Linked DNA regions of Caenorhabditis elegans. The protein of the gene in region 2 interacts with the protein of the main gene of each other region in a pairwise test. Each region holds a gene or a part of one and is shown on either strand. Other genes may lie near its edges.

Region 1 (8,806 bases), on a different chromosome or scaffold from region 2:
ACATCTGGAATTAAAAACTATTTGAACCTTTTTAAATGTTAATAAAATAACTAGTTTTGCCTAAATTATATAATGTAGAAAAAACTAAGTTAGTATACTATTGATGCAGTATTACAGAATTATATGTCTTGAATTCAAATAGTGCTCAGCTAACACAGTTCTGTAGTTTGTAGTGTCTCCCTTTCACCCTCCACCAGGACCCCCCTAGCCATCCCAATATCAACGAGGGGCCCCCCTACACATGTTTATGTCTATGTCATCATGATGCCTGGCGAGTTTGTTGGCACTTTGTAATTGGAAAATTTCGTTTGACGCACTTCTTCGCTTCCCCGTTTTATTTCGCGTCATTGGACACGAGATGTGATACATTTTGTTTTTTTATTTTTTGGGAAGGAGGACTCACAAACTTGGGTCTTGACAAGAAGAGAGGTGGATTAAATAGTATTTACTTCAGTGATTGAAGAGGATTAGATGTTGAGGAAGTTCCGAGAAATGTCAGGATGTTAGGAGGACATAAGACACGGCATAAATTTTATGGTACGAAATATAGGACTGGAAAACAAGTTAGGACTACTAACAAAAAAATGTTTAGGGGTTCGGGGACGGACACTCGAAACTATAAGTTTGATATTTTTGTCTTCAACTGTTAAATGTGAATTCTGTTAATATATAAAAAGTTTCGCTATATATTTTATATATTTATTTATTTCAATACGTTTTTTAATCCCTTTTTTGTTGAATACTAAATTTGTCAAAATAGGTAATCGTGAATGTGGGGAAATTCATAAACGCACAGTGTCCGCCGCTAACTAACAGGGGTTTCACGTTGTTAACTAAACTTTGCCGTCTTTGCCGTTTTTTGGAACCACACGTGGTGCCAGGCTGTCCCATTACGGTTTGATCTACAAAAAATGCGCGAATGTTTTTGCCCAAACAACTGTGACGTATGCACGTCCTTAACCATGCGAAATCAGTGTCTCTTCTCCCGCATTTTTTGTAGATCTACGTAGATCAAACTGAGATGAGACGCTCTGATACCACGTGGCATCATAGAATTTTTGAAAAATACTTACTACGATTCTAAGTAACTTATATACATCCATTCCTCCTCTTCTTAGAAATAAGGGTCCTTGAGTATCACTATAATTTAACTAACATTAGTAATAATACAATCCCTTACCCTCTTTCCCACATAACATATATATTATTGAAGTTTGATCACCACCACCACAGCCCACTCATTTTGCACAAGAAACAAAAAAAAACATATTACTCTCCGTTCCTTTTCATTCATTCCCTCCTTTTGAAATTTTAATCAGTAGAAAAACGAAATGCATTAGTGTTTTTTGGGTTCTGCTGATGTGGCTGTGGCGCATGGAAAACGAACGAGTTGCAATTAATTATTTATGATAATGAGTAGTCGTCAGAAAATGGAAAAAGGTTTTTGGACGAGAATGGAGAAAAACTCGGCCACCGATTTATCGCTGGTTACAGTACTCCAAGGGTGAGATTTGTGTAGTGAGGGTTAATAAGACATGTGGAATTCAAAATTCAAAATTAAAATTTTCCAAAAAATCAGAAGTTCAAAAACTACAAATATGTTCTATCCACAGACCGAAGCCATCAGCATAACAACTATAGTACGTTCAGGCAAAGCAGTTTTACAGTTTGTCGTCGGGAGAAAATTTTGTTTTCTCTGTTCCCCATAAATACAGTAGACATCTCAGATCTTATTTAAATTCAGAGAACGTCTAATATTATTGACTGAAAACAATTAAGGCTAACAAAACTTATAGTTTGTCTCCCTTAGCCTCACCCACTTTGACTAATTAGTGATTAATGAAATCCGACAAATCTCGGTTTATTGGAACATTTATTAAAAAGTTCCCACATAAATTGGAAAATAGTTGATGAACCTTGGAAGAAATTAAATTTTGAAAAAGGCGGAAAAAACATTTAACTTTAACAATATTCGAAAGCGCTTTTCTATAAATTTTCATTGAAAATTAATGGTGAAATTTGGATAACGATTTTCTAAAATATGGTCTTGGAAATAATTAATTTGAAAAAATTCTCAAACTACTTTTCGAAATAAAATTTTATCTTAAAAATTTTTTTTCAAATTTTCAGACTCTAACCCTAAATTAAAATTATTTTTAACATCCGAGCCATCGTTGTGTTTTTTTTTTAATTTAAATGCAAAAAAAATGTAGAAAAAAAAAGTGTTTTTTTCGAAAGTTCTGAATTTGAACATTTTTGTAAACGTTTTTTTTTTAAGGTTGAAAAGGTTAATTTCCAGAGACTGAAAATCCAAAATAACATAAATTTTAACGTTACACAACTAAAAATGTAATTTTAAGAGGAAGTATTCAAAAAAAAAATTCCAAAAAAAATCGTCAAAAAACATTTTTTCGGAAATTTTTTAAAAAAATTATATTTTCCTCGAATAAGTTTTTGTTCAATTTCTGAAACCTAAAATCCTATATTAATGTTATTTCTAACATCTCTCCCTTCCTAATGACCTAAAATCCCTTAAAAAAACCGACACCTCCCCCGTCTTTCAGCTCACCGGCAAGCAGCCTCAAATATCGGAGCGAAATCGGAGAATTTCAGGCTATTTGTCATTGAGCACACATACACACACATATTTCTTTGATCTATATTTGATTATTGTGCTCCGATACGTGTCATTTAAAATATCTGACGTCATTCGGGTCCCGCCACGAAAAATCAAAAAAAAATGGTGGGAAACGTGACAAAAATCGGATTTTCAGGAGGGCTGGGATGTGATGAAAAATTGAATTATGTGTATAAGGAACGTCATACTTGCAAAAATATATATGTATGTCATTTTCAGAAAAAGAGATGCAACTTTTTCATTTTCTCGTTGCAAGTGAAAAAATCAGAAGCTTAAAAATGGGAATTTTGGCATATAGACCTCAAACTATATTAATTTTTGTTGACAATTTTCACTTATAGTTAGGACAAAATTTGTATGAAGTACAGGCCTAGGAGCTGAAAATTGAGAAATTTTTTTAAATTTAACAAAAAAAAGTTTTTTGAAAATTAAATTTTTTGATTTTTTAAATATTTTTTAAAATTGAAAAATTATTTTGAAAAAGCTTAAAGTATTAAGATATTGAAAAAAAAATTTTTTTGAAAATTTTCTAAATTCAAAATCCTATATTTTCGACAACAACTAACTCAAAATTTCTCTATTTATCAGTTTTTTAATAGTAAATTTAAAAATTCGGGAAACTCGGAAATTGAAAAAAACCTAAAATTTGATAAATTGAGATAAAATTGAAAATTGAAGACTACAAACTACAAATAAATGTATTCCAATTATCCAATTAACCACACGTTGGTTGCGGTTTAGACTACAAACTACAAGTGTTCACCGAGCCTCAACCAATTTATTTTTCAAAATTTATTGCCCATTTCATATTCAAATAACACGGAAGTAATTTCCCTTTTTCACAGATTTTTCGCTAAAACCTTTTTTGATTCTTGACGCTTTTTTTGTTTTTTTTTTTCTCGGAGAAAAGAAATTGATGAATAGCTGAAAAACATTTGGGAAATGGGGAAATGAAATGAAGAAAAAACAGCTGAAAAAAAGACAATATTCTCATGGAAAAGGGGTTAATTGTGGGAATATTTATGGTTTGTAGGTGGAAATAGGTACTTGCATTTAGTCGAAAATTGTCTTAAAAATTGAGGAAAAATTTTTAAAATCACAATTTTTTTCGAAATTTTTTAGTAGAAATTTGGTTTTTTTTTCTAATTTTCAGCGTGATATTATGTTTAATATGTCTATATTGAACAGATCTTCGGCACTTTTTTATTTAAGAAAAATAGTTTAGTTAATTTTTTTAAATTGATTTTTTCAACTTTTTTTTTCAAGTATTCAAAAATTAAAAATTAAAATTTCTGAAATTTTTAGTTTTGAAGTTTTTAGAATTGTAAGATTTTTTAAAATTATCATTACAAAATTAGTATCAAATAATTGATGGCATTTCTTCAACGCAAAAAAATTTATTTGAAAAAAAAATTTAGACCAGCAAACAAGCCAAACTTCAATTTCTCCCCGAATTTTCCAGATTTTTTTTGTGAAGTTTCTCAATTTTTTTCTAATACTGTTAAATTGGCCAACATTACTAGTTGCTATAAGTTTAAAAAAATAAATCTTTTTCCAAATCCCAAAACCTTCAATTTTCAATTTCCAAAAAAATTGCCGCAATTTCTTCAATATTTCACTTTCCTCAGTTATCTCATTCTAAAATCAACTTCTAAGCTTCTGGGTCCCATGAGAAATCTTTCAAGATTTTGAGCAAAAAGGTCAGAGTCCAAGACAAATTGTTTTTCGTTTTTCCGCAAAATTTTTGGTTTATTTGTTGCTCTTTGTTTATTGACCAACTAGATATGGTTATTGTGACGTGGCGGAAGCGGGGGAATTTGAAAAAAGATTTTCGGACCATAAAAGCGTTGTAGTTTCTACATAGTTTATCAAAATGGCCAAATATATTCAACAATAAATTGTATAGTTTATAGACACTCCGCCCCAACTGATTAGTGTTCAAAATCCGTCTCATTAATTGCAAAGCATCATTTGTGACCTAACAAATTGGTGGCCGAGTTTTCTCCACCCACGGCCACGTAGGATGTGTTCTTCTTGTCTGCGAGTATATATAGATGTGTCCCAAAATATATACCGCTGGAGAATCACATTAACTTTTGAGGTCATATATTTCCTAGACAAGTTCCTCCACCCAGATAGCCTTAGGCGGTAATGGGGATAACTTTTTCCTTTGGATTACGAAAACGGATTGCAGAAAGTAATAGGAGCTGAGACTACAAAGTACAACTATTTTTAAACATCAACCAAGTAAATGATAGTATAAAGTTGATTCCTTAATTGCAATTTCCAACTAACGACTATTTTCAATATGGTAAACTGCAATTAACATGTCCACTTGAAACTTACGGTTTTAACCAATATAATTCCAAATTCAAGAGTTAGTTACGATCTTCATAGTTCCCCGTACCCCAAACTATTCTTCCAGACGACTAGACAAGTGGTTAACACCACCCTCACTAGAGGGAAAACGAAAAAGAAAAACAGACCTAATTAGGACCAGGAACGAATCGTTAGTGACTCTTCAGAAAAGGAATTAGCGAAAAGATGTGAAAAGAAAATGTATGTGTTTTTTGTTCGATTTTCGGTTTTCTGCATTTTCTGGAAAAAATGAGCTGGTATGATAGTTGGCAGCAGAAGGGTTAGCAGCAGAAAATTTCTTTGATTAGTTTCTAGATTACTAGATTCCCCTGAAATATAACTTTGAAAGTTAGGGGTTGCGGGAAGAACACTTCCGTTCTGATTTGAATTCCAAATGAGAAAGTTTTATAGATATGTATAACATTAAATGACAATAAAGACAATCTATTCATTTTTAAACTGCATTGAGGTAGATCGATGCACCATGTCTAAAAACTAGTTTTGCACCCTTTCCAAGCTTGGCAGGTTGTAGGTATCTTCAAAATTATAAGTAAAAAGTCTAACGTGAGTAAGGATACAAATAATTTAACAGTGGCTATAATTAGGACAAACATAGTAATATTGAATTTAGTTTCTATACGTTAAAAGTAGACCATCATACTTTGTAGGCATCTACATATATCCTACAAAGCTTGCGAAAGATGCAAATATAGTTTTTAAACATGGTGCATCGATCCAACTGTAGTTTATGATCATTATTTTGTTAAACACCTATATGGGAGTTGTTGTCAAGAATGGGAACTCAAGGCTCAGATTGTTCGTAGTTTGTAGTCCCTTTGCCACATCATCACTATGATCACTGTCCTCATCATTATTAATATTATTCTCAATCCAACTCACCATGACAATAACGAGCAAAACGGCAGCAAAAAACGACGACGACGACGACGACGACGGCATCGTTATGTTGTGTCTCTTTCGTGAAAGAAGAGAAGAAAAGAAATGAGGTCTCCGTCCGATGGCTCACGGAGCACAGCGGAGGCGGGGCTTATCGGTGCATCGGCGGGTGAGGAGGGTGGAGCTTATGTGGTGTTGTAATTGGAATAGTTAAGATTTTTCTGGAAAATGCGGTGTTGGAAGTGTGTGTGAGTTGAAGTGGTGACGTAAGTGGTTATTAGAAGTGAAGATTTTTCTCAAGTTCGAAGGTTCAGATAACATGAGAAATTGGAGAATTTGGCACATTTGCAGAGGCTAAGAATATACAAACTACAACGTTTTTCAGCCTCCCCACGTTAGGAAACTACAAACTACAAGACCCTTAGCATCAATCAAAGTCGATAACTACTAACTGTAAGGTTGTCAGCGTAGATCAAAATGTGAAGACTACAAGCAACCTTAACATGATTAGATACACTACAAACTACAAGCTACAATTTTCTTGACTTCGACAGAACAAACTTATTCAGCCTCACCCAAAATTTGAAACTACAAACTGCAAGTTTCTCTAGCCTCACCCAAAATGTACAAACTACACAACTTATAGCTTTAGCCAAAAATTCACAACCACAAACTACAAGAATAGATTCATGCAGACTACGAACTACACAATTCTTTAAGCCTCAAACTCAGAAAAAAAAAATTTTTCGGCTCAAGGTCCAAAGGCGTGCCGGATGATAAATGGGTGTTGTTTCAATGGATCACCACTTTTTTCAATTTTTTCGAAAAATAAGAAACCAAATTTTGAAATTCTTTTATAAATATTTCATTTCTCACGATCACGATCTTGTATCAAAAATCGGTCAGTTACCGCTGTCTGATCATAGTTTTACGTCAGAGCTCGGAATAGTTCGTTGGGTGAGGCTAGAGAAACTTGTAGTTTGTAGTCTAGGGCTCTAGGGCTTTTTTATAGTTTGTAGTCGATTAGCCTCACCCAGCCCGACACTGAAATTCAGTGCACTTTTCCAGTCTACCCACTACTTTTTTTTAATGCCTCGCCCTATCCGTTTCAATTTTTTTCGTCCCGAGAAACCTTTTTTAAGTGTATTCCAACTCTTTCTCTTTTTTTTTCTATTTCTCAACAATTCGTAAAAGCAGTGGTGTAAGTGGGTGTAAAAATAGTGGTCCCCAGGGGGCAACTGGGATCACTACTGACATTACACGTCACTCTGAGAAGAAGAAAAATGTAGGCGTTGAAGTAATGCCACGTGGCATTAAATATCCACAAAATTCACAAAGTTCGACATTTTTCTTTCATATTTTAATGTTGTGCCACAAATCAAATATACAAAAAATCTTCCATTTTCTATATTTTCCAAGAAGAACTACATATTTCTTTTTGTTTTGTATTCACTCTACGATGAACACAAATTTCACCAAAGAGCGACAAATTCATTTTCAGAAAAGAAGCCTCGAAAATCCACCCACCAGTTCGGGGGGTATAAAATGCGAGACGTACTGAAAAATAGAGTATGGTAAATATGAAAGTGGAACTGGACTCAGAACAGAAATCGAGTTGATACCCCTTTTTATTTTCTGGGTAATAATACAAGCTACATTGTTTATCAGTTACTATTTGGTTTTAAGATATAAAACCTAATAACATGGCCTGAAAAAATATATAAAGAATTATAATGCTAACTAGGTATGTACCAGGGCTCGGCGGCATTTTTTCGGCAAACACACTAACTGACTTATTACAACATGATTATCCAACTTTTTCGATCTAATGTTGATATAGGAGTGTATAAAACTGGAAGGCTTGAAAAGTCCTGAAAGTTGCAGTTTGCCAAAAAAACTTTTAACGGCACTTTTTTGCTAACGTCACCTTTCAGGCATGATTTGACAACTTTTCCAAGCTTTACAACAAAAATAAATGCAATTTTCAGATAAAACAACCCGTTTTTTACATTTGATATCAATTTTAGATCAAAAAGTTGGAGCACCATATTGTAATAAGCAAGTTTGCAGCGTTTGCCGAAAAAATGCCACATACCCCTGGTATGTACTTGACCAGGTGGCCGATGCGTTCTGAAACTTTGGTTGAGGTTCAGGAAATGTTGTAGTTTGTAGTATTTTAGCTTCACAGTTCGGTAGGAACGATCTTCACCCTATCGACAAATAACGTCATTCATACCTATATCAAATACCAAATTGGCATTCCCATTGTTTATTATTCCACGTCGTCAAGATTTTTAGAGGAAGATAAGTGGGTACTTGATCATAAAATGTATATATTTAGACTTTCAACTAATTTCGATACCTTTAGGTTTGAGAAAATTCGAAAGAATTTTTATAGAAGTTAAAAACCTGGAAGTTGAAAAAGAGCAAAAAGTGTTGTCAGTTTACTAGGACTTCCAAGGGAGGCAGGGCCCTACACTATGGCGAGAAGTCACAGGCTTGGTGTTTACACCACATAGTGCGAAGAAAGGTGGTTCTTCCACCGCTGCTGACACTGTTCGGGTTCCACCTCGCAATATATTTATGGAAGGCGCGGATCGCGGCGCGAGGCAGTCGGATGTCGCCGCAAGGCGGGCGCGGCTTTTATTTTGGTGCCTGCATGAAACTACAGTTTATATTTCACACTATAAACTAGAAATCTAGTTGAAAATCCTATTACATAGAAACTACTTTTCGTTGACCAATGATAACACTACCAACCAGGGGTGTGCGGCAAATTTGCCGAATTTGCCGTTTGCCGAGCACGGCAAATTTCAAAAAAGTAGATTTGCCGAATTTGCAGAGCTCGGCAAATTTCAAAATTTGCCGCACACGTCAAAAATATGACAGTACAATTTTGACTAAAACTATTGA
Region 2 (6,823 bases):
TGAACACGGAAATTTTTTTAGGGAAAAAAGGAAAACAAGACGATTTCTCAGAGGACTTCGCACATTGTGTTAATTGTTCAATCTTCTCGCTGACCAGCGGTTGTGTTTTTTTAGCGGAAAGAGCACTTTTGCGCGAATTGAGCTTCCAAAAACAGAAAAAGGAAATAGAGATGACAATGAGTTGAACAAACGAACAGACCGCACATGCAAAAAAAGAGGAAAAGTTCATTCGGGCAAGCCAGAGCGGCAGCGGTGGGAAGGACGAGCATCTTGCGAGACTGTAAACACGATTTGTTTGCAGGACATGGAAGACGACATACAGTTTTAAAAACAATGGGACAGCCAGAAACACGTCGGCCAAATGCAAGAATCGGAGGATGAGAAACGAATTTTTGAGGCAATCCATGAGCCCGCAACGAGAGAGGAAGAGCAACCAAAACAGAATAGGTGGAACTAGAGACAGATACATTTGGGCGCTGCCGGCTTACAAGCAAAGCAGAGTCCGCTCGCTGAGGTGACTGTATGAGAAGGATTACACGAAGGCTTTAACAGAAACAGGAGCCAACACCGGTGTTTGTGTTGGTGGGACATGTGGCTGAGAAATGCATATGGAACGACTTTGGAAGAAAAAAAACAATACAACCAAAGACTGAAATATAACTAAAACTGTAGGTAGGGAAAATTGAACTTCGGGAAAAACAGAAATTGTTTTTAAATTGTTTATTTATATGTAGAAAACATCTGAATGTGCACTACATTTGTCGTTTTCTTTTTTTTTGAATTTTTGACCTAAAATAATTCCCAAAACTGACACAAAAATATAATGTAGTGAGACAGTTTTGACATACGGGAAATATTTGTTATTTTTACAAGAATACAATTCTAGAACACAAAATTAAGTATAGCACCCTATGGCGAAATTTGAAAAAAAGTATTTGTTTTGATTTTGAAAAACAGGGAATCAAAATTTGAATTCAAAATTCCATACAGGAATATGAAACCTTGACAGCTGATTGGTGAAAAGAGTGAGTGAAAACCGAATAAAAACAAAAACATGTATTCATCCGTTGCTTAACGTAATTGAACAACGGACTTTTTGACCAATGTCCTAGAAGATTGCCTAACAAGTTACTAATGGCATACACTTGAAAGACCAACACTATCGGAAAATATGTACAAGTTAAAGCGACCAGAATCAGATTCCATTCTAACGCAACTTATTTGATAGATATGAAGACCTAGTTTTAGTTAGAAGGGGACCAGTGTCTGAACATTTTACGGAAGAATATGGAAGGAATGTGTTGTCCTCGAAATAGGCAGCCCGATCTCTCCTTTTTCGTCAATTTCTTCGGTTACTTTCTTGAAAAAGTGCACGCTGTATTAATAAACGCAGATTTTGCGAACGGATAAAGAATTTGCATAGGTCATACATATACAGATACACACTCACTCAATCGCATACACAATGTTCTAATAGAACATCGTAAAAAGGTGTGAGAAGTGGAGAAGGTGAGGTGAGACTAACAGTGAAACAGAAGGTGGATGTGATGAAGAAACGATGAAAAAGTCGTATGGGATTCTGTTTCACTCCTTAAGCAGAAGAAAAAGAGGAAGCTTCATCTAATCCAACCGAAATGAATGATTTAAATGAAATTAACCGGTTTTCAAGGTTCCAGGGAAGATAAAAGTGCCCCGCCAGGAAGAGAGTACTGATATGAATTATTATGGGAATTCTGGTGACAGTGACATCATTATCAGGAGTTGGGCAGTTGGAACGTAGTCAATGTTGTTTGTTTTTTTTCTTGTAAATATAACATTTTTTTGTAAACAAAACAAGTTATTATTAGTGTCATTTAAAACATTGAGCTAACTTTAAATTCGAACAGTCTACATGATGACTGTGAACAATAAAAGAAAACACTGTTCAGGGTTAACGAGAATTCCTAAAAGTAAAAATTTCCAACAAAAAAAGTGGTTTTTGAAGATCTACGGATTTTGAAGCAATGTTTTATCAAAAAATGTTCCCGTTTTAAACTCAAAGCGTTTCAAACATGCATTCATGGCTTTTTTCATAAAAATTACTGGCGAAATATAGTTTTTAAAATTTTAATTTCTCAGCTTTGAGAATGATTAATTAGGACTTGCTGGTTTTTGGCTATGTACGGTGTAAGGAGGATTAAGTTCTTAGGGAAATAAAATGCAAAAAATCTACAACAGATATTTAAAAAAAAAAAGAAAAAAACTATAATTTAAAATTCTGACAACGACTAATTCTCAAAAAAATGTATAAATATGAATTTGTGAAAAAAAACGCTTTTTTCCTTAACATTTTTACAAGGAATAGGGAGTCTTAAAAATTTTCAATTTAAAAATTAAAAACTAAAATCTAATTTTTATAGATATAACACTTTTTTTAAACAAGAACGAAACACAACTTTCAAAAACAAAAATTACGTGTAGTTTCAAACTAAACAAATATATAAATTTTCGCGTACTTCTCGAAATATGATGTTAATCGCATAAAACACGACTCAAATTACTTACTTCTAATTAGCAACTTTGTAAAGCTATTCATTTCTGTGGGAAAAATCTCAAAATAGAAACACATACGACAATAGTGGATAACAGGGTTGTGATTACCTTAATTGTGAGTACTACTCCGTTCGGAAGGACTTAGAAACAAGAAATGAATAGAAGTTGATTGAGCGAAGGGATGCCAAGTGGACATGTAAAGGATATTCGCTTCTTATGTATTCTTAGTGGTTCGTTTGCCTAATTTGCAAAACACGTGCGGCTCAAACAGGCATTGCTAGTGAGTCACATATCTAACATGTTTTCAAATGAAAATGAGAAATTTCAAAATGGAACATAAACGAGTATCATAAATCAATAGGCGCCAAGTAGCGGGGCATGGTTTGAAAATGTTGAATGGTGATGGTGGAGAAATGGGTGGTGGAAATGGTTAGAGAGTACGAGACGTAGGCGAAATAGCTACACCGTGATGAGAGGTGAACTGCCAGCTGGTGCACAGATTCGATGGTTTATTATGTTAGTTTGCTTTCTTGCCTGTTGATATTATCCTAAGCAACAAGATGATCCGTTAATACTTGTTTTTTCATGATTGATATGGAATTGCATCAATTAAAATGTAGTCAGGTTGATGAACAAGTCGAAAAAAAAAGTTAAAAACATCATAGGAAGAGTCTATAGGAAGAAAAATTACAAACTAGTACTGCTGTAAACTTAAGCTTGCAAGCAAAAAATTGCAAATTCTGAGGGCTTTTAAAACATTCGTAACTTGCCTTGAGTAGCATCTTACTTGGTTGTTTTTTTTAATAGACATAGGTAATTTTCGAGGTGAGATATTTCTGACAATTACAAATGCGGCAATCGAAGTTTTGTCAATTGGCGAAAAGATTTTAAAACAGCAATGTCTGAACATTTCTGGAGATTTCAAAACGTATAAACGTATTTTGTAGTAAAATATTCGCTTTTCAAGCTTGATGTGTCTTGAATTGATAGGTATTTGACGGAACTTTAAAAATGAACAATTATGTCAAGGTTAAATGTTAAACTGTTTGAAATATGACTGAGGTTGAAAACTGCCGAAAATTCTGACAGTCAACTATGTATATGGGGAATTTCGAAAATCTTCACCCTTGCTTTTAGGTAGGTTTACTCGAAACATTTTTTTATGATAGATTTCTTGTGAAAAAAAACGTATGTGTTTGATTAAAAATTCAATATTATTCGGATACTTATTGAAAGTAAAAACACAATTAATATTTTTGATTAACAGAAACATTAACAGGCAAAATCTACTCACCATGGTAAACAGCTCATGTTTTAATAGATCGACGATTCGAGTGAAATAGACGAATGGAGCAACAGAACACGGGAAGTCAAGAGAAAATAGTTGGGAAAGAGTGAGAAACGTGATCAAAAAGTCTTTAAATGTACACTGTCAATAACTGATTAGGCGAGTGAGAAAGTGTGTGTTGGCGGGCAAACTCAAAGGTGTGGGGCAATATTGTTTGAGCGGTTGTTCAACTAACAAATATACATGGACTTTAAAAAAAAATACAGAGAATTGGAAAAATAGCTTTAAAAGGGAGGAGTTTTGAAAGTACTGATAGTTTTGAGTTTGCTGGAAACATTGTTTTAAAATAAATTAAATTTAGAAAACATAAAAATTAACGGTTCCTAAGAAAAGTCTCAAAGTTGCACAGCGTTAAACATATATTAGAAGTATTCATAGAAATTTCAAGCCACTTTCTATCTGTGAATCACTTTCAGCAAGATCAAGACTTAGGAGGATATCCAGCACAATCAAATGGTACTCTCCTTATTATTCGTAATTCACTTTTGATAGTTTCAATGAAAGGAAAGTGAAGTGAAAGTCAATGGTTTTCGGAAGCAAAGTGTTTGAAGTATCTAAGAGCTTCCAGGTGGAAACGCGAATGCCTTTTTTGTGACGGATGAGTAATTGTGAAACGCAGACTACTCACGGAAACACGATACATGGCGATGGCATTGGAAGAGGGCGAACGGTAAGAAAAAAAAGATGCAAAAAGAGGTGAAAACTAGACATTTTCAATATGCTGGATTGAATTCCTATCCTCACTTTGTTACCACTTGGCAGCTGAGATGCCAATGACTTTGCTTCCTTTTTCCTTCACCCCCCCCCCCCCCCCCCCGAGGACATAGGTAGCAGGCAATTATAGAAGACGAAAACATGGGTGATGATGATGATGACGATAATGATGGACGGATAGAGGGTGAAGGACAATAATAAGACGCAGAGATATAGGAGAGTGGAGTGAAAGAGCACGACTGTATAAATATGAGCTCAAGAGCAGTTTATGTGCTGGAGCATGACGAGCTCTTTCGAAAAGAACGCAACACCCTCTCCACGTTTTCGGCAGAAAAGAGTGACAGAAACAAAGAGAACGGTCATAAGCACGAGGTAACTGTTTTTACATGGGATCAGCGTTTGCACGTTGGTACGGATTACAGTTGGTACAACTGAAGATCAACACGTTCCGATGAACAATTGATCATCTAAGAAGGTTCAATAGAACAATACAATGCGGTGGTGTTGGGCAAGGGAATATATAATCAAGTGAGAAAACATTTAGGTGATCTGGCAAATTTGACTGCATTTGAAAAATGATACTTTGTAAAGAACTTATCCTAATATTTTTGTTTAACAACGCCGCAACATGCAAGCGTTTTCTTTGCTGAATGGAATTTTGTTTATAATACTTTCTGCACTTTTTTTTTTGAAATTCGTATCTTAAACTGGAATTGTAGTTTTTAGCCAGTTTATTTTGAAGGAAGTGCCTAATCTGCAATGTAAAGACAATTTTTTCGTGATTCATCATGAGTTGTGTCAGCATAAATATTTGTATTACAGCAGAAAAAGCAAAAAACCTGAGCAAACTCAGATTGTTTGGTTTTTATGTTGATCAACTTTCACAGAAATTTAATTAGATAATAGGTTAAAGAACGCACTCCTGAAAATCTGAAGATTCTCTTTTTCCCATTTGTACTGTACTAGTCTTTTTTTTCGAGATAACATCTGAAAGAAGGCGTCTGCTAAACGATTGTAATGGTGTGACGATTTAGGTTTTTTGGGTGAGTAGTTACCATCTTCAGACTTCCATCGACCAATTTAAAATTGAAAGTTGGTTTCAAACTGAAAAAAAAACTGGAGGAAAAACTAGATATTAGAAATAGTTCTTGAAATGTTTTCTGGCAATGAAAAATAGGGTTTTTGATTGAACTTGAACGTTTTTTTTTTTGAAAGAAGTTAGAAGTTGCAACAATTTACAAATAGCTATGCTGCTGTAAGAAATATTTTATATTTGGTTTTTTGTAAAAGAATAGGCACTTGTGAATTATGACCACAAATTTTTAAAATGTTTTGGTAATTTCGACATATTGTTTTTCTTACACTCAAGAAATTAAAACAAATCATAGCGTTTTCATTTAAAAATTAAAATTTTGAAATGAACATTACCAAACAAAAATTGGTAATTGGACAGATTTAAAAAGTTGTAGCTCAGTCTATGATTTTGGACGTACATTTTTCAATTTATGCAACTTGAAATACGCCCAGTAAAGTTTTGTTTAAAAAGAGTTTAAAATGTTTGAAGTTTTTCAGAAGTCGGGAAATTGCTGGTGCTCCCATTGGATTTCCATTTCAGCAACTTTCGATGCAAGAAAAGTGACCGATAATCCATTTGTACATTGCTCTGCATTCTATCGAAGACTGTGTACACCTTGGAATGCAAGGTTTGGTTTGAAATCGTAATTTCCAGATTGATAACATTTACCTTCTTCTTGTTAACTGTTTATTCTACTCAGTTGAGCATTTTTCAGTCTAATGTAGTTTTATGTTGTTCTCTTTGTTTTCCTTCCTTTTTTCTCACATAATTACCATAATTTGTCTCATGTTTCTTGTTTTAAATAGCCTCAAGCCATTTTCGTGTTGGTCCATTTGCTCTAAGCCGTCCCTTTTTTTTGTTGTTTCTATTCTCAAGAAAATTGAAACAGCAGTGAAATTTGATGAAAAGTGGAGCAGTTGCTTTCTTCTTTCTGCATTTGGCTCTCTTATTTGTTATTTGTAAAGCGCTTTGCTGTAAACCGATATGTATAGATTTCACGCCTGAATTTGTGCGGAATGTCTTCAAATGTAGCTGCGGAGTAAGTAAAGTAGAGTTAGGATTAATTTCAGTGATTTGTGTATTTTTATTTTTTCTTTTCAACTTTTTGTCTGTATTGCGCATAAATTCAGAATTAGTTTGTGTTTAAAAAAACT
Region 3 (8,541 bases), on a different chromosome or scaffold from region 2:
GTAAACTATTCGTTCTTTAGCAAAAATAAAAAAAAAACTTTATTTAAATTTAAAAATAAATATCATATGTTATCACACCTTAGAATATCACGCCTTAATTTAGTAATCATTTTTAGTTCATAAGTGTGAGAGAAAGAAAAATGGATTAATCATCGGAATTAGATATCATCAGAGTGATTATATTCATCAAAGGTCCCACTTTACTGGAGATTTAATTTGGTTGATATAAAATTCCTATCTCATGTAAAGAAAGGTTCGAATTCTGTACCTATGAATACTGCCGATATTTGAATTCCTGTCTCATGGGAAGAAGGCCTTTCTTGTGGGAAGAACGGAGTTATAAAAAAATATACGCAGGTACAGAATTTGAACTTTTCCTCCCATGAGATAGGAATTTGAATATTGGCATTCTATAACTTCACTAAGAAAAAAAATCTCCAAAGGTTGATCGCAAATATGTAGAGATTGCTCGCATCCCTTCAAATATTACAAAATTTCCAAGTTTCTCAGTAATCTATAGTTTTCATTTAGATTACTGAAAAATATACACAGATTACTTTTGAGTCTGAGAAGTTATTGTAAAACGCAAAGCGAGCTCAAATGTATTTTGATAAAAGTGGCTATTTAGGCTTAAGCCGCGCCATACCGCCGGTGTGTCATAAGGATTTCCAATATTTTATTCCAGTTGGGCATCCTAGTTTTTTTTCCGGGCCCTTAGGCTTAAGTGTGTCATAAGGATTTCCTATATTTTATTCCAGTTGGGCATCCCAAGTCTAAATAGCTCTTTTTCTTTTCTTTTGCGCTCCAAGCGCAAGGAAAAACCTTCTTGTAACTTTTTAAGAGGGTTTCATATATTTTATTAAAATCGGGGCGAAGCCCTGATTTTAAATCCATATTGTTTTTTTTTGTCTTCCTCTATCCCTGCAAATAGGAAAGATAATGTGTTCTTTCTGATGAAGTAAAAATCATCATAAAATCTTGAAAACTGAGAGCAGGAGGTAATATTTGAATATATTGGGTCGTAAATGTGTGTCTCTCTGTGGGTGGGGTGGCGATGTGTTGGCAGCCCTTCAACGAACTGTATCTCCCGCCTGTATCTCCCTTCAAAGAGAGAATTGGGTTACAAAAATTTGAGGGGATATGAAAAAAGGTGTGAGAATTTCAAAAATATTATTGTTGAAACACCAGACCAAACCACTTTTTCTGGGCAAGAGGCAAAAAATTAATTTTTTGAAAAAATTTCAAACTGGCACAAAATTTTTTCAAAAATAAATTTTTCACAAATTGTTAGTAGATTTCATTTTTCATAAATATTGTTCATTGAACACAAAAAAGAAAACAAAGATTCATCAAAAAATGAGTGAAAAATCGCAAAAATTCGAAAAAATCAGTGCTGAAAAACTCGATTTTTTGGCGGTGCTGAAAAAAATTTTCACTAAAATTTTTTTGAAACTTAGTTTTTCGGATTTAGCGTCAAATTTTGAATCTATATAAAAAAACAAAATTGAAATTGATCTCAGATTGAGTGAATAATAAACGCTCAAAGTTGAAAAATGAACAACGCAAAAACGGCAGTAACTTGCTTCAAGGTCGGTTATCTCAGTGAGTTTTCACTCAATTTTCGAAATTTGTTTGCTCTATCGCTTTAGAAATATTTGTAATTTCATTTGTTTTCCTCAAAATCAAAATATCTCAAACGACCGCCATCCTACGAGAAGGGAAAAAAAAAGTTTTTGGAAAAAAAATCAAAAATTTTTTTTCTGCCTCGATTTTCAAAATGAAAAAATCACTTTTTCGGAATAATTTTTACTTTAAAATGTACCTACGATCTTTTTATACAACAATTTCACCTTGGAACCAAAGATTTTTGGAGGATACTCGAAAATACTCTTCATATCTCGGCTCAAAGAGCTCCAATCTTTCTGAAATAAAGCATACAGAGGTGGGGCAAGCTTCTTGAAGAGAGAGCAAAAAACCGCATCAAAATCCATCCACCCACCGTCAAGTTACACGCGCGTTTTCAGAGTGAACGAAAAACAGGGCATAAAAAAATTTAGACGCCCGCACCCGGACTCGAACTTTTTTCAGATTTACAAGCTTAATATCTCGGCTCCTGTAAATCGAAATTGGCTCAAAATTCTCAAGAAACCTTATCCTGCGTCCTTCCTGCTGTCATTAAATTTTCGTGAGCTTAGGGAGAAAACTGACAAAACGCCAAACTTTCAAATTTAAAAAAATAGTTGAGGGTCATTTTGTAAACACCTTAAGCTCCATAACTCGGCGAGTTTTGATGGAATCAATTTGAAATTTTACACGGAAGCTTCTTAGTGGCTTATACGTCTCTGTGTTAAATTTCGCTTTGATCGGCCAACGGGAACCCTTTGAAAAATGAAAAAAACGCTGTAATCCTAACCCTAAATGGCGAGCTAACGCTCGCCACTGACGCCAAGCCTAGGCCTAATCTCAATTTTAACTGTAAAAATAACAAAATTCCCTATTTTTCTGTCAAAATCGAATTTATCTAGGCTCGCAAATTTTTGATCTACCATCTCAGATGTTGATCTACTATCTACTTTTCGGCGCCAAATTTCCAATTTTGGGTGCAGAGACTCTGTTTCTTTGAGTTTTCCGTTCGATTTCCGCTCATTCCGTCTCCTATTCCTGTTCTCTGTGGACAAAAATGTACAGTTTCAAAAGCAGCACCGACGTGAAGACTTATATCAGCACCCCGTCGTGCCGGATATGTCTTGAGCCATTTGGTTAGTGAGTTTTTGTTGGCTTAACGGCTTTTTTCGTCAGTGTTTGGCTATTTTCTTGCAAATTTTTAGGTGTTTTATCGATTTTCACATTTTTAAATACTTAAAAAGCTTGATATTTGAGCGAAAAATCAAGAAAATTAAATTGCGAAATTTTTTAAATTTTTTAAATACCAACGACACTCCGATCTTACACCCGTGCGCGTTGTTTAGCGTAAATTTACAAAGCGAATTTTCAGTTGGTTTTCTCGAATTTTAATTGAAAATCTTGAAAATTAGTGAATTTTTCAGCGTTTTTATGGATTTTTCCCTTAGAATACAGGTTTCTTAACCGAAAACACAATTTTCCTCCAATTTTTTCATAAACATCTTTGAAAAAATCAATATTCCAGACGAAGGACAACATCTTCCGAAAATCCTGCAATGTGCCCACACGGTCTGCGAGAGATGCATCGGTTTGCTCGACGAGCAGAGCCGAATCAACCACAATCGGCCGCCGATCGACCGCTCGTTTGTGCACATTAGATGTCCAGTTTGCAGGGTATGTGTTATCAATTAATTAAAGGTGGACTCCGCTCAGTGCGGAAATTGCTTTAAAACACGCCTATGGGGTCACAATGACCGAATATCTTGATTTAAAAAATTCAAAAAAATTTTCTAGATTTTATATGATCTTTTGAAAATTGAAAAAATCTCAGTTTTTGCCTAATTCCTATTTGAATTTCCGCCAATTGGATTTTTTCGGTGGGGCGCACTTGCACGTTTAAAAATTTTTTTTTTTATTTATTCTTATTTTTCACCGATTTTTAATGTTTTCGGTGTATTTTTGCTTGAATTTTAGAGAAAAAGCCAAAATAAATGCAGATTTTCGATTAAAAAACACGATTACAGGCGTAAAAATGAGAAAGTAACGCTTTTAAACGATTTCGAACCTGAATTAATTAATTTCACTGATTTACGCCTGTCAGTGTGCTTTTTAATCGAAAATTTGCATTTATTTTGACTTTTTCTCTAAAATTCGAGCAAAAATACACCGAAAACATTAAAAATCGGTGGAAAATAAGAATAAATAAAATAATTAAATTTTAAAACGTGCAAGTGCCCCAACGAACAAATCCAATTGGCGGAAATTCAAATAGGAATTATGCAAAAACTGAGATTTTTTCAATTTTCAAAAAATCATATAAAATCAGGAAAATTTATTTGAATTTTTTAATCATGATATTCGGTCATTATGACCCCATAGACGTGTTTTAAAGCAATTTCTCCACTGGCGCTACTCCACCTTGAAGATTAAAATAAAATTTTTAATGAATTTTGCTGAATTTCAGGCAGTCACCCAGACTCCACGCAACTACATTCGATCCAACTACCAGCTAATCGAATTGATGGATTCGATGCGTGGAGAAGCCGATCATAATATTTCATTCCTCGCGTGTGTCGGCTGTAATGGCGTTTATCACGAGAAAGAGTGCGTTGGAAACTCACGGCCTCACGGCTCACGCGGCACCTCACGAACTCCAGAATTTGCGGGAATTTGTTTAGCGCGGGACAGCAGTTTTTTGTTATTTTTGGCTTCTACGGAAATTATTTTTGATTTTTTGATCTATAATATTCTTGAGAAGCATCCTTCGAATTGAAAATGTGAAAAATTATGAAATTTGAGCGAAAACTGAAGGTTTTACAGTAAGGAGTTCTATACTTTTCTTTAAAAATGCATCAATACCGCCAGTTTTTTGATTTCAGAGTCGTAAAGTATGCCATTTTGTAGAGAAAAGTCTGTTTCACAAAAATCCATGTTTGAAAATTGAAAATTGTTTTTATTAAAACCTGAAAAATCAAAAAAAAAAAAAAGATTTTAATGTAAAATTGTTGATTTTTTGAATATTTTTATATTATAAATTGAATAATCAGAATTTCAAACATGGATTTTTGTGAAACAGACTTTTCTCTACAAAATGACATACTTTACTTACTTACTTAGGATACTTAGTCGATCCGTTCTTCGCCTGCGGCGCGGATCACAGCTTTCCAAGCTTTTCGGTCCTTTGCTTGGGTGGACCATAGTTGTTTGACTTGCCCGAAGGCGTCTCGCGTAGTGACTTCTTTTCTTAAAGAGTCATTCCATCTCATCGGTGGGCGTCCAACGGGTCGTTTCTCGTCTCGGGGGCACCAATCGTTCATCAGAGTTGTCCATCGGCCATCCGTTCGTCTCGCCACGTGTCCAGCCCATCCAAGTTTCCTCTTTTTTATGTGTATTAGTGGATCTCTGAGTTTTGACTTTTCTCGAACTTCTTCGCGATGAATGTTTCGTTCGCGTTGTTCTGTCAAGGTGAGTCCAACTAACTTTCGTTCGAGGGCTGCATGGGTTACTCTGACTCTTTCCACTAGCTCTTTTGTGAAAGTCCAAGCTTCAGAGCCGTAGGTCAGGGCTGGGAGAACCGTAGAGTCGAAGAGATTTGCACGGAGGCGTGGGCAGGTGATCTGGTCCGTGGTGCTTTTGATGTTGGTAAAAGCTGCCCACGCAGCTCTTCGTCTTCTGTGAAGCTCAAGCTTTTTTGATTTTTTGATCTATAATATTCTTGAGAAGCATCCTCCGAATTGAAAATGTGTAAAATTATGAAATTTGAGCGAAAACTGAAGGTTTTACAGTAAGGAGTTCTACACTTTTCTTTAAAAATGTATCAGTACCGTCAGTTTTTCGATTTCAGAGTCGTATGTCATTTTGTAGAGAAAAGTCTGTTTCACAAAAATCCATGTTTGAAATTTTGAAATTGTTTTTATTAAAACCTGGAAAATCGAAAAAAAGAAAAAAGATTTTAATGTAAAATTGTTGATTTTTTGAATATTTTTATATTATAAATTGAATAATCAGAATTTCAAACATGGATTTTTGTGAAACAGACTTTTCTCTACAAAATGACATACTTTACGACTCTGAAATCAAAAAACTGGCGGTATTGATGCATTTTTAAAGAAAAGTGTAGAACTCCTTTCTGTAAAACCTCCAGTTTTCGGTCAAATTTCATAATTTTATACATTTTCAATTCGGATAATGCTTCTCAAGAATATTATAAATCAAAAAATCAAAAAAAATTTTCATAGAAGCCAAAAATAGCAAAAAAACTGCTGTCCCCGCGCGAAACGAATTCCCGCAAATTCTGGAGTTCGTGAGGTGCCGCGCGCGAGCCGTGAAACTGTGAAAATTCAGATTTTAATTAATTTCCCCAATTTTCAGCACCAATATTTGCACTACATGCTCCCCAATCATCAAGGATGCTCATCCCACTGAACTCATCGAGCAAGGAGTAATTCTGAATCAGTACGCGTTGTGTTCGACGTGTCTCCTCAGAGATCACATCAAAAAGAACCACGTGTCGATCAGTCTGCAGCCTCTTCGCGTCGAAATGCAACGCCAGGAGAATCAGCGGCGGATAGTCGGCTTGCAGGACAATTTGCACAAAGTGCAACGCGATTTTCGTGAGCAGCTTAACGCGACTATGGAGCGATGGGCCGGATGGAATGGGAGCCACGATTTGTCGATGGATAAATTCCGTGAGCTTGGTGATACGTACAATCAGAAGAAGGTTTATGATGCGTTCGTGCATCAGCTGAGAGGCAAGACCGCTAAGATTGAGAAGCTCGCCGAGCACGTTTTGCGATGGAATGATGAGCTGGACAGGGAGATGGTGCGTTGAAGATCGGGGCCGCTTTTTCAATTTTTTTGAAAATACAAAAACTAAACTTTTTATTCCGAAAATTTAAATTCTGAAATTTCGAAAACCTTTAAAGGTGGTGTAGTCGAATTTTTTTATTATTTTTTTAAAATTTTATTAGACTCAAAATTGTCTGAAAACACCGAATTTTATAATGAAACTTCTTGAAAACTCCAACTTCTCAAAAAAAAACTTCTGACGGCTCGAAAAATGTCCTAAAATTAGTTAAAATTTGAAATTTGACCGACTTGCAAAAATTTTTAATCAATTTTAATATGTAAAGCCTAAGTGATTTTTTGCCAGAAAAAAAAATCTGGAATTTACAGTTTTTGAAATAAAAATTTTCAACAAAAACTAATAATTTGTCGGAGAAACATTTGAATATCAGTTTTTTTTTGTCAACTCTAATTTTTATAATTAGTTTTAAAATTTAAAATTGAGAAAATTATTCGCATTTTTTGCTCAAATTTTGTATTTTTAAAATAGTTTTTTTTCTTTCAAATTCTACTCCAAATATACTCAACATTTTGGTAATTTTTTAAGAAATTTTATGGAATTTTTCGAAATAAAAACAATTATTAAAAATTTCAACTAAAATCTAATTTTCAGTACGAATTTTAGAAAAAAAATTGAAACTTATAAAAAAAATTTTCTAAAAACTAAAAATTTCGCCTTTTGGTTTTTTTTTCAAAAATATTTGGAAAAATTAACAAAGTTTTATTAAAAGTGGTGTAGTCGAATTTACTAAATTACTTAATTAGATTCGAAATTGTCTGAAAACACTGAATTTTATAATGAAACTTCTTGAAAACTTCTCAAAAAAAAGTTATGACGGCTCAAAAAATGGCCTAAAATTAGTTAAAATTTGAAATTTGACCGACTTGTCAAGCGGTTGGAAACTAACTTTTTTTTTGAAATTACCGTCAAATTTTGAGTATAAAATATAATTATCTTGCATTTTCAACTAGATTTAGGTATTTTAAAGTCGATGGACGGCGAGATTTTTATATTTTTAAACCAAAAACGGCGAGATTCGAGTTGAAAACGCAAGATAATTAAATTGTATACTCAAAATTTGACGGTGACTTCAAAAAAAAAAAATAGTTTCCAGCCGCTTGACAAGTCGGTCAAATTTCAAATTTTAACTAATTTTAGGCCATTTTTTGAGCCGTCATAACTTTTTTTTGAGAAGTTTTCAAAAAGTTTCATTATGAAATTCGGTAGTTTTCAGACAATTTTGAGTCTAATGAAGCAATCCGAAATATTCTTTAAATCATTCTTTTTGGGATATTAAGAAAACTTCATCCTTTTCCCCTAATAAAATAAAAATTTTCCAGGAAAGACCACCAGCTCATCGTTTGCCACGTAGCTCAACTCCAGCGCCAGCACCACCATTCGACAACTCCGTCGCCTACTATTTTGAGCACCAATTTTGAGCTTTTATATTTTTTTTTCTCATCCCACCACCACATTAAAACAGAGTTTTTATATATACAGTACCCATTATTCGAACACAATTTGTTCTAAAAGAGCCCCCAAGAATCAGATTTAATAAAGAATGCTCTCACCAATTACATTTTATTGCAAAGAAAAGTATGAACATTTACAGGAAATGCGAAAGAAAATGCGGAAGTGAAATTGAGATCGTCTAAGACTCATAAAAATAAAGTCGACGAAAAAGGCCTTGTAGGCAGGTAGATAGGCATTTTCGTGCCTACGAAGAAGGGGGAGGATCAGAAAATCTATGTTTAACTTTTCAAATACTATTGAAAAGTGCCATAAGTGCCATAATTATTAAAAATCCAAATTTTTGAAAATACTCCAGAAAATTTTGAACATGGTGCAACGTGACCAAAATAACAAAGTGTGCAATAAATATGGCCCGTTTTTGCCACTTTTTAATAGTTTTTGATGGGTTAAACCTAGATTTTCTGAATTCAGCATATATGAATTACCCGTTTTCAACAAATTTAGCCGATGTTTTATTTTTGCCCAAATCGTTTTTTCAGCCATCTAATGACTGTCCTTTTTTTGGGCAAAAAAAGATTATTCTGAAATTGAACGAAACT

What was found. Proteins that work in one complex are often made in the same cells at the same time.
Region 1: the proteins of sdpn-1 (region 2) and nlp-15 interact in a two-hybrid assay, tested with the Caenorhabditis elegans proteins (one large-scale study listed by BioGRID).
Region 3: the proteins of sdpn-1 (region 2) and grif-1 interact in a two-hybrid assay, tested with the Caenorhabditis elegans proteins (one large-scale study listed by BioGRID).

Annotation. Positions count from the first base shown.
Region 1 is NC_003279.8:12,985,425-12,994,230, reverse strand, and holds the start of nlp-15 (Neuropeptide-Like Protein), read right to left. Parts: upstream 6,001-8,806; 5' UTR 5,957-6,000; coding exon 5,897-5,956; intron 5-5,896; coding exon 1-4.
Region 2 is NC_003284.9:7,994,253-8,001,075, forward strand, and holds the start of sdpn-1 (SH3 domain-containing protein), read right to left. Parts: upstream 3,844-6,823; coding exon 3,827-3,843; intron 358-3,826; exon of another isoform or gene 109-357; intron 1-108.
Region 3 is NC_003279.8:1,975,372-1,983,912, forward strand, and holds grif-1 (RING-type domain-containing protein), read left to right. Parts: upstream 1-2,658; 5' UTR 2,659-2,680; coding exon 2,681-2,759; intron 2,760-3,148; coding exon 3,149-3,297; intron 3,298-4,087; coding exon 4,088-4,227; intron 4,228-5,994; coding exon 5,995-6,445; intron 6,446-7,809; coding exon 7,810-7,908; 3' UTR 7,909-8,041; downstream 8,042-8,541.